3 linked regions of the Bombyx mori genome follow. The protein of the gene in region 3 interacts with the protein of the main gene of each other region in a biochemical or structural test. Links are inferred from orthologs where the notes say so. Each region holds a gene or a part of one and is shown on either strand. Other genes may lie near its edges. The genes, in order: ubiquitin-conjugating enzyme E2 C, Ubc13 and ubiquitin-like modifier-activating enzyme 1.

The links.
Region 1: of the proteins of ubiquitin-like modifier-activating enzyme 1 (region 3) and ubiquitin-conjugating enzyme E2 C, one has a biochemical effect on the other in vitro, tested with the Homo sapiens proteins (5 studies listed by BioGRID, with this or other methods). The link is inferred for Bombyx mori from reciprocal best matches to the Homo sapiens genes UBA1 and UBE2C.
Region 2: of the proteins of ubiquitin-like modifier-activating enzyme 1 (region 3) and Ubc13, one has a biochemical effect on the other in vitro, tested with the Homo sapiens proteins (10 studies listed by BioGRID, with this or other methods). The link is inferred for Bombyx mori from reciprocal best matches to the Homo sapiens genes UBA1 and UBE2N.

The regions. Positions count from the first base shown.
Region 1 is NC_085126.1:12,142,860-12,146,628, reverse strand, and holds the start of ubiquitin-conjugating enzyme E2 C, read left to right. Parts: upstream 1-1,130; 5' UTR 1,131-1,375; coding exon 1,376-1,476; intron 1,477-3,389; coding exon 3,390-3,769. UniProt on the Homo sapiens protein: Accepts ubiquitin from the E1 complex and catalyzes its covalent attachment to other proteins. In vitro catalyzes 'Lys-11'- and 'Lys-48'-linked polyubiquitination.
Region 2 is NC_085111.1:2,343,733-2,346,654, reverse strand, and holds Ubc13 (ubiquitin conjugating enzyme E2), read right to left. Parts: upstream 1,963-2,922; 5' UTR 1,737-1,962; coding exon 1,281-1,736; 3' UTR 601-1,280; downstream 1-600. UniProt on the Homo sapiens protein: The UBE2V1-UBE2N and UBE2V2-UBE2N heterodimers catalyze the synthesis of non-canonical 'Lys-63'-linked polyubiquitin chains. This type of polyubiquitination does not lead to protein degradation by the proteasome.
Region 3 is NC_085114.1:15,610,870-15,613,549, reverse strand, and holds part of ubiquitin-like modifier-activating enzyme 1, read right to left. Parts: intron 1,931-2,680; coding exon 1,755-1,930; intron 1,244-1,754; coding exon 1,022-1,243; intron 671-1,021; coding exon 419-670; intron 1-418. UniProt on the Homo sapiens protein: Catalyzes the first step in ubiquitin conjugation to mark cellular proteins for degradation through the ubiquitin-proteasome system.

The sequences.
Region 1 (3,769 bases), on a different chromosome or scaffold from region 3:
CCGCGGCCTGAAGTTATAGGCCACCTAAATCTCATGCCGAACTCTTCGACGAGCTCAACGAGCATCTACAGTTAATTGCCATTATTTATATTAAGACAATGTGTTAATTTTTAAACATAGAAAGCGAAAGATATAGAGATTTGTATAATAATATAGTTAATAAATACTAATCTAATTATAAGTTTACATTTATTCGTTGGTTAGTCGTCGCTCAAGCTAACCATTAACTGAAGTTAGTATAATTTAAGTCTAGCTGTAGCCATGGGCTTTGAGTAGCTCCTTCACTTTGAAGTAGAAACTCACTTTCCCACCAAAATATGAATAAACAAAAACGCGCCATGTTGTTCGGATTACCGCCTCCACTACAGATATTTTTGTACTTTATAGTTGGAGGAATTCACAGCTCACTCAAAACCCATAAGCACCCGACGTGAATGCCACTCTACCCAGCTTGGAATACTTACAATTGTGTTGTAGAGTTGCTATCCCATTTCAAACCAAGACACATCATGACTTAAATAGCTAGGGATTATCATGACTCAAATAGCAGGTAGCTATCCGTGCAGGCTCACTCTCTACGTACCAGTAATTACGAAGACTAGGTAATGATAAAATGAAATGAGATATGTAATTAATAAGATGAAATAATAAAATGTTTCAAAATGAAATTGTCTAGTAAACTAATCGAATATTACTCTGGCTAATCTTAATTTTTCATTTGGACATATTTATCTAAACTTAAACAGAACAAACAAACAGAACTAAAAAAATCAATACCTACCTAATCGCCTCTTTTATTCTAGTAATCCTATTTAAAATAGCATACAGGTACTATTACATTTAAAATGCGCAAACAATTTTTTAACTTTATCGGGCACATTGTATTAGGCAAAAATTAATACGTTTAAAATTTCATCGTCACATAAAAAGTACTAGGCCAAATTTAAAAAAGCGGGTAAATGAAATCTAAATTTTGAAAGCGATTATCATTTTGAAATTATTTGTGACATGAAATTATTTTATCCACATGTTATAGTATATTCGGATAATCTTATGTTTAAAACTATAATGTTCAGTTATTTATCTTGATTTGACCTATTTAACATATTTATTATGGTTTATTTCAGACCACCTTCTAACATATTCGAGATTAGTGTAAATCAGCATTAAATTATTTTTTCAATTGACCGTGTAGATGGCGCTTTTTAATACGTCAATCAAACAAAGGCCGCCATTACATTGCACTGTCAAATAACGAGATTACCAATAAAATCGTAGCTATTTCAAATTCAACAGGAAGTTGACGACGATTAACTGAAAAATTGGTGTCCCTTGCTATTTTAAGAAAGTGTTCATTTGATTTCCTTAAAATATTATGGCTCAAAACATCAATCCACATTACGCGTCGTCTTCGAACCCAGCTAAGCAGAGTGAAGACACGATTAAACTAAAAGACAATCATGCTGTGAGCAAACGGTGAGTTTTATTATTTTTACCACAACTTTTTCGTAATACCACGGCAAACACCCACGTAGACAACATACAATACAATTAGACTTGCGCAAAACATCACTTCCCAATGTAATGTGATATGACATCACTTTTACAGATAGGTGATATTACTCGAAAACATTACACATCACTCTTAACATTACTCGGTGCGTTCAAAGTGATGTGTATAAACACATCACTTAGGTAATGATTCGGGTGTATAGATACAATGTATTCGTCGTCACAGTATCTATTGAACGCACCGAGTAATGTTAAGAGTGATGTGTAATGTTTTCATCAATCATTACCTAAGTGATGTGTATAAACACATCACTTAGGTAATGATTCGGGTGTGTCATTACAATAGTGTATTACAATACAAAGTATGAACTTTGTATTGTAATACACTGTTATATTACTTGACAGATTGACTTACTTAATAATATAATAATTTTATTTTTTACTTAATATAATTTATTGTGGGATGAACGGATTTCATATGGCGACTTAGACTGCAAATTGAGCTCGACAATAATGTTAATATACGAGAGCAGTAGATGCATTGTTTCGGTGCGATATCCTCAAAAATATCCTCAAAAATCCAAGGAGGACTGTACTTTCATCTAAATGAACGTACGTCTAAACGCCGTTATTTCTTTCACTTATTAAACACGCATTAAAACAAATAATAAAACTATCTTCAAACAAGTGCTTAAGTAATTCAAATCAAACACAAAAATTAATATGAAATATTACTAAACAATTACGAGCGACTAGCGATTTTACAAAAGTTGCGAATAAAAAATTAAGTAAGTACTTGCGGGGAGCTACCGGCTGGCCGCATGAAAAATATAAACACAAATACCTATATTAAAATTCAGACGTACCATAGGTATAAAAATGTACCTAGCGGCCAGGACATATGGTTCAAAATCACTAGGAATAATTCCGTGTCGCTTGCTCATTTATTTTGCGTCGATCGGTCTGTCTCGCTCGCTCGGTTCCGTTCGTGTATTACACGACAAAGAAAGAAACATGTTGGGTGATAGTGTGATGTTTGTTTCCTTCGCGTAATGTGTGATGTTGCATTACATCGTAGAGTAATATTACCCGAGTAATATCACTCGCATTACTTACACATGTCTAAATACAATATATTTTGGTCCTTAGTATCGAAGTAGCGATTTGTGTCTAACGGTTTTTTTCCCACGAAAAAGTCTCGATTATTCTGTTCACTTGCATTATTGTTGGTTTGGGCTGTTTTAAGCACATTATGTAAATGATCATTTAGTGCATGTAATACAAAAGCGCCGAAAAAGTAAAAACCAAATAAAACTATTACACTTTACATAATGTGGTAAATTTAAAAGCACAGTTTTTAGCAGGTATAGGCATTCTCATTGGTTAAAGCGATAATTTTACAATAATTAATGTTCAGTAGGTAGGAATAAGTAAACTTTTTAAAAAGGTTTGTTAATTAGTCACCTTTTCTACATTAAATAGCATCAAGAGCCTTAGACCTTTAGACGCTTTCTAATTTGTGAGATTCTTAAATGTAAATTGTTTATATAGAATTACTTCTCTAGAACAATTACTACCATGTGAATGAATATACCTCCACCCAGAAAATATTGCAAGTGATATAAAATTTACACTCACACTACAACATCAGTCATTCCACATATGGCAGCATCCTATTTACCAAACAATAATTCTGCAAAAACAGAAATTTTATGTCATTACTGGTCAACTAACATTTCATTAGAAATGTTTCAAAGACTCACTACTTAATTAATAAACCTGCTATTAGATTAATGCACTTAAAAAAAACACTATATGCCATTACTTTTGTGTTATAATTTGCATAATTCAACTCATTTTATATTTCTTTTTAATAGACTCCAGAAAGAGCTAATGGAGCTAATGCGGTGCAGTGATAAAGGAATATCAGCATTCCCTGAAAGTGAAAACCTCTTCAAATGGATCGGGACCATCAATGGACCTTTAGAAACTGTATACGCAGGCCACAAATACAAATTATCACTTGAATTTCCAAATTCATACCCGTACGCACCACCTGTTGTCAAATTTATGACTCCGTGTTTTCATCCAAATGTTGACACGTGTGGTTTAATATGTTTAGATATTTTAAAAGATAAGTGGACGGCTTTATATGATGTACGTACAGTATTGTTGTCAATCCAAAGTCTTTTAGCAGAACCAAATACACAAAGCCCTTTAAACCAGCAAGCATCATATCTATGGCCGAACCAAGCTG
Region 2 (2,922 bases), on a different chromosome or scaffold from region 3:
AACTTTGATTTTGGTTCATAAATACCATCTATATTTTGTTATTATAAAATTTGAGTTATTATGGTCTAAAGCACTTATGAGCTATTGGTGGCTTACGACCAATATGTCATCACGGTTGCTTAATTCAATATGAAACAATCATTCAATCAACATTTCTGATATTACATTTTCGTTAAGTTGCAATGACAACTGTTCAGTTAACTTGTGTCTTTACTTAAATTTCAATGAACTAACAAACCTATACCCACTGACTGATCAATGGATAAGCACTTTATTTCTAGTTGAAATTCAGAGGTGTAGAGGTGAATTCAAAAAGATGTTAATTTTTCAAAGTTTGTTTTGTAACTGTTGTTGATAGATTCTTTAAACGTAATGACAACCATCATGCCTATTGATGCCATAAAGCAATCACCCTTTACTTAGAAGAGTTTGATAGCCATTGGTCCAATGTATTCAATATTATAAGAGCATGTTGCAAGGTATCAACGCGATTCCAGTAAATGCTTTTAATTTGTAAATTGCTACTTGAGTTTGGCCCTTATTTTAATTTAATGAATCCTATTTTGTGATGGTATTGCACTAAAAATAAAATATGGGTTAGCTTTTTGTATTTCATGTATTTTGAAGTTGCTCACGAAGCCAAATTAAAAATTTACATAAATACAATTTATTTTGATAATTTTTATACAAGACGTAAATAGTACAACATAAGATTCACTGTGAAATCATGTTCGATGTGGTTAATAAAGTGAAAATTATACCTAAATGCAATCATTGTTCTATAAAAAAAAAAACAAAAAACATTTCAATGAGAGATCAGTTAAATGATGTTACAATCAAATTTTAGTAAGACTGTGTCCGATAAGTCTCTGGCATAGATAATCAAACTTTGCAAATTGAAACTATCTTCTGTACAAAATTAATTTTAAACCAGCATAATATATACATTGAAGACTCCAGGTATATTTTCTTTATTCACTATTCATATTAATAGTAAAAAAATATGCATACCTAATATTGTAACCAAGCTACATGTGAATGGGTAAACAATGATCTGTGGGATCGCCTAGCCGTTCCGAGGCGAACAAGGTGAGGCAATGGATAACTGCAAAGGGACCGGCGCCGCGGCCCTCATCCACTAATAATAAAAATTTGATCCACAATAGTCTCTCACAAGTTACTCTGTTTAGGATGTGTAACATAACTTGCACTCATAAGTCGTGATATCTCGTTGGTCGTGTGGCGCGCACGGTCGGCACCGGTGCTCTCGTGCCGGCTATTCAGTTGTCCATGGCGTATCTCCGCGTCCACTCCTTCGCGTTCCTAATAGCTTCACTCTCGTTCACCTTCCACAATTCGGCAACGTCGTTCGCCAGCGGATCGTCAGGGTTAGGTGCTGACAGCAGAGCCTGAATAGACAGTAGCACCGTGCGTATTTGTAGAGCTGGACTCCATTTATCTTTAAGAATGTCCAAACAAATGCGGCCCAGTCGGTCTATATTAGGATGATATATTTTCGTGATAAACCTAACCTTAGGTGCCGACATGGGGTAATCCTCCGGTAGAAATAATTCTAATTTGAACAGTCCTCCTTCGAAAGGCGAGTCCTCTGGGCCCGTCACGATAACGTGGAAGTAACGGGCGTTTGTCTCGCTAGGTACTGCGCTGATCCCGGGCACCGGCTCCTGCATCAATCGCTGTGTCTCTTTGATTATTCTACGTGGTAGGGCTGCCATTTTAAATATGCGGTCGAGCGCAGTTTGTCAAATGGAAGCGATTACTCATATAATTGTATAAAATATCTAATTATATTAGCACTGAATGTGTTAACGACGCTTGTTGAGGCACGTTTCCTTATATTAATGAATTACAATAGCATTTTATCTACGAAATTGCAATAAACGCGACTACAAAAGCGAGTGTTCTTTAGTTTTTTTTAACCACAGATAATATAGATTTTCACCAACATAGACAAAATGTAGAATTTAGAATAGGGTGCGTTCAATATAGATGTCTGGAAAAAAGCCTTTTAAATAAACATGCATTAGTTTAAGACAACAAAAACAAATTGTTTATTAAAAGAATAAAATTCTGTACTAGGTTGAGTACCTGGGACTGAATAGGAATCACACAACATTGTTATACAACTTGTGCCGTGTTTGAAGCCTGCTAAAACTAACTTGTCTTGTTATACAGACTTCAATCTATTTAGAAGAAGGCGCAAAAGAGCTTATGAAAAAAAAGGGAAGAATGAAAGATGTCAGTAATAGAAAAATAGTAGAGAGGAAGAACTGTATTCAGCCCTTAATATAAAATCCAAACAGGAAAGCGTGTTTAATTGAAGAGAACCTACATGAAAGTTGTTAAAACTGTTTCGAAAGTTTCGGAACTTGTTTTTTATTATATTTGTGTTTTATATGCTTCTGAATCTTACGTTTCTACCGAGAGTGAATGGCGCACATGATTTTTTAAAAATGAGAGTTACAGGCTGTTCAAAATTTTATGAAACGTATATTTTTTATTCAGCTGACAGAAAATGATAAATGTGAAAAACGTAGGCTCGTAAACAAATTAGTATTTATTATGAACCTATTGTGAAAATGTTATTTTAATGAACAGATCTAAATAAAATCACTTAGGACCGCGGTCAGCGACATCTAATACAGTTTTAAAAATGACGTGATGTCAGCTACTCGTCAACAGATGTCTAATTTTGTTTCATTAAATTTAGAACATCTATGTGTAGAATCTTCAGTATTAAGACAAATTCTCGTTATCAATGACAAATAAGGTTATTATATCATCGATATATTATAGACATATTATATTTAACTTAACTATCTTAATATGGTTGTTTAATATTTATATGACTTAAGTTACAAGGAACACAATAATAGTATGAGTTACCTAAGTGAAAAAGAT
Region 3 (2,680 bases):
GTTGTTTGTCCGTTGCGTGTTGTCCTCCATAAACCTCATCGGAGCGGTCAATAAAACACTAGGTATAATCACATGTTTATTCGCGTCAGCGACCGCGGTGGATCGCTGCATGTAAACCACTGACTGACTAACGTATGTTGCTCATTACTATAAATACATAGCAAGCAGCTAAGCAGGGCGGGGTATCATTCCCCTACAACCTTTTACTTCATAGTAACAGGAAAACATTTTGGAAGGGTTTTCATTCTAAAATTTGTCTGTGCATGTTAACTGATATTAGGAAACATTGAATGAGAGAAGGCGTAGTACTTTAATATAGTCGTTACTCTTGCATAGCTGTATTGAAGGGCAGTGATCAGGTTATTAGGTAGACAGTATGTTTACTACGAGTAATAAAAAATATGTTATATACACTTACTCGCACACTCTCAATAGCATCCAAAGGCTGAGTACCAGGCAATTTAAGACAGCGGTCCAAGAAATTCGGGTCCTGCAAGTATTGGGCAGCATGCTCAGCAGCCTGACGGAATAAACCTTCGAATTCATCGCGAGCCCATTGTAGTGTGTGTTCAATGGCATTCGGGAAGTTCTTGAGCGTACAAATAGGAATACTCTTCTCGGGAGGGTCCTGGGATGAGCTGTAAGATTCCGTAAGGAATGGAACAACCACCTAAAACGTAAATTACTGATGTATTAATGTTATTTCTTTTGATATGATTATATCTTGCTTAATATTTTCTTTACTTATATATTATGAAATATTATTGATTTATGTTTAAAAGATTGTGAAGATTCAGATATCAGTATCAAAACAACTTTTTTTTAATTTACCAAGTTTGAATAGTTAATGATACTTAAAAATCTTTGTGTTTCCAGTATAAGTACTAGACAACGTTAAATCAATTCATAACTATTATTTTCTCTTAGGGTTCTAATTTATATTTGATCATTAACCAATTAATTTTATTCAACGTTTCATGTTATTTCAAATTGTATCTCAAATGCTTTTGATTTTACTAACCTGTGTATTTCCTTTAGTTCCAAGAGTGCCACTCTCCAATAAAGGTTTTCTATAATACACACACCGTCTGTCCATGTATATACGGGCGTCGACATTGTCGAGTGCATTGGCTACACCATCCAATGCTTCAAAGAATGCATCATTGTAGACGGACTCGGTCTCAGGGCAAACTCTGTTTTCTTGTGCCAAAACATTTACTGCTGGATTCATGCGTTTAATTACCTATGACAAAAAAAATATATTAAAAGTATTTGAGTATTACAGTATATATTTATAGTTACTGGTGGTAGAACCTCTTGTGTCTCCGCACGCGTAGGTACCAACACCCTGCCTATTTCTGCCGTGAAGCAGTAATGCGTTTCGGTTTGAAGGGTGGGGCAGCCGTTGTAACTATACTAAGAACTTAGAACTTATATGTCAAGGTGGGTGGTGCATTTACGTTGTAGATGTCTATGAGCTCCAGTAACCACTTAACACCAGGTGGGCTGCGAGCTCGTCCACACATATAAGCAATAAAGTAAAAAAAATATATATTGTGTAATATCTGAAACCAACTAGGGAAACATTAAAACTTAGGCGAGCAAAAACATTTATACATTGAATTTGAAACTAAACTGAAATTCACTGGTTCAGGGAGTAATCTCGAAGCAAACCCTGTGTAGATGGCTACTCTTGTGCTCTCTATAGCAGTACACAAGTGATCTCAAATGTCATTACGAATCCAGCAACTTACATTAGCTGCAGTACTAGATTTCGGTTTCTGTACATCATAAGGCCTAAACAAGAACTGCCTGTTGAGGTTAGACTTCTCAATGAGGTCCATATCCGTGACTGTAATTTGTCCTCCATCAGCACCCACACCAATCATGGCAAAGTTCTTTAATAATTCACATCCGATAGCACCAGCACCTGAAGAGATAAACTTCATATGATACTATACTAATATTTTGTGTAGCTTCATACAGATAGTTCATATTGACTATTATTCATTAGTAAATTACCAATCTTGAGTTTACAGAATTATTTATGTTCCATATATGTAAGAGAGCACACAGGTTCCATAAAGTTGAGTGTGAAACCCTTTTTTTTTTTTTTTTTTCCTGGCCGAGGGCCGAACCTCCTACGAGGTCCCCGCGCCTAGGGGGCGCGCGGGGTATGTGAGACTCAACGATCTGCAGGTGTTGAGAGCAGACCGCGGGCCCACCCACTAAACGACTCCCCTGCACTCTTACACCTGGCGTCCGATCTCCGTCTGGGGTCAAAACCCGGTCAGAGTAGGGGGGTTCCCGCGGTCAACACTACAACCAGACACGCGGCGCCACCCCGAGGACGCCCGACCGACGGGTCGTCGAGGCGATAGTCGACGACCAACGACGTCAGTCTTACTTTTTACTTTTAATTACTTATTACTTTATGTTGCAATTTCCCAAACAGCATAACATATTTACAGAATAACTGATGCTAGAAAATTTTGTCAAGTTCCAAGGGATGGTAACAATATTTGTTTGCAGATTAAAAATACAGTGTGTGATATAAATTAAGACTAGAATAGATATCAGTTGACCATGGGAGCCTTTCACTCCAGAATAGTCTTGCACATAAGGAGAATGACAATAATTATCATTCTCCTCACGTGTCAATCAATCAATCCTTTTAAAA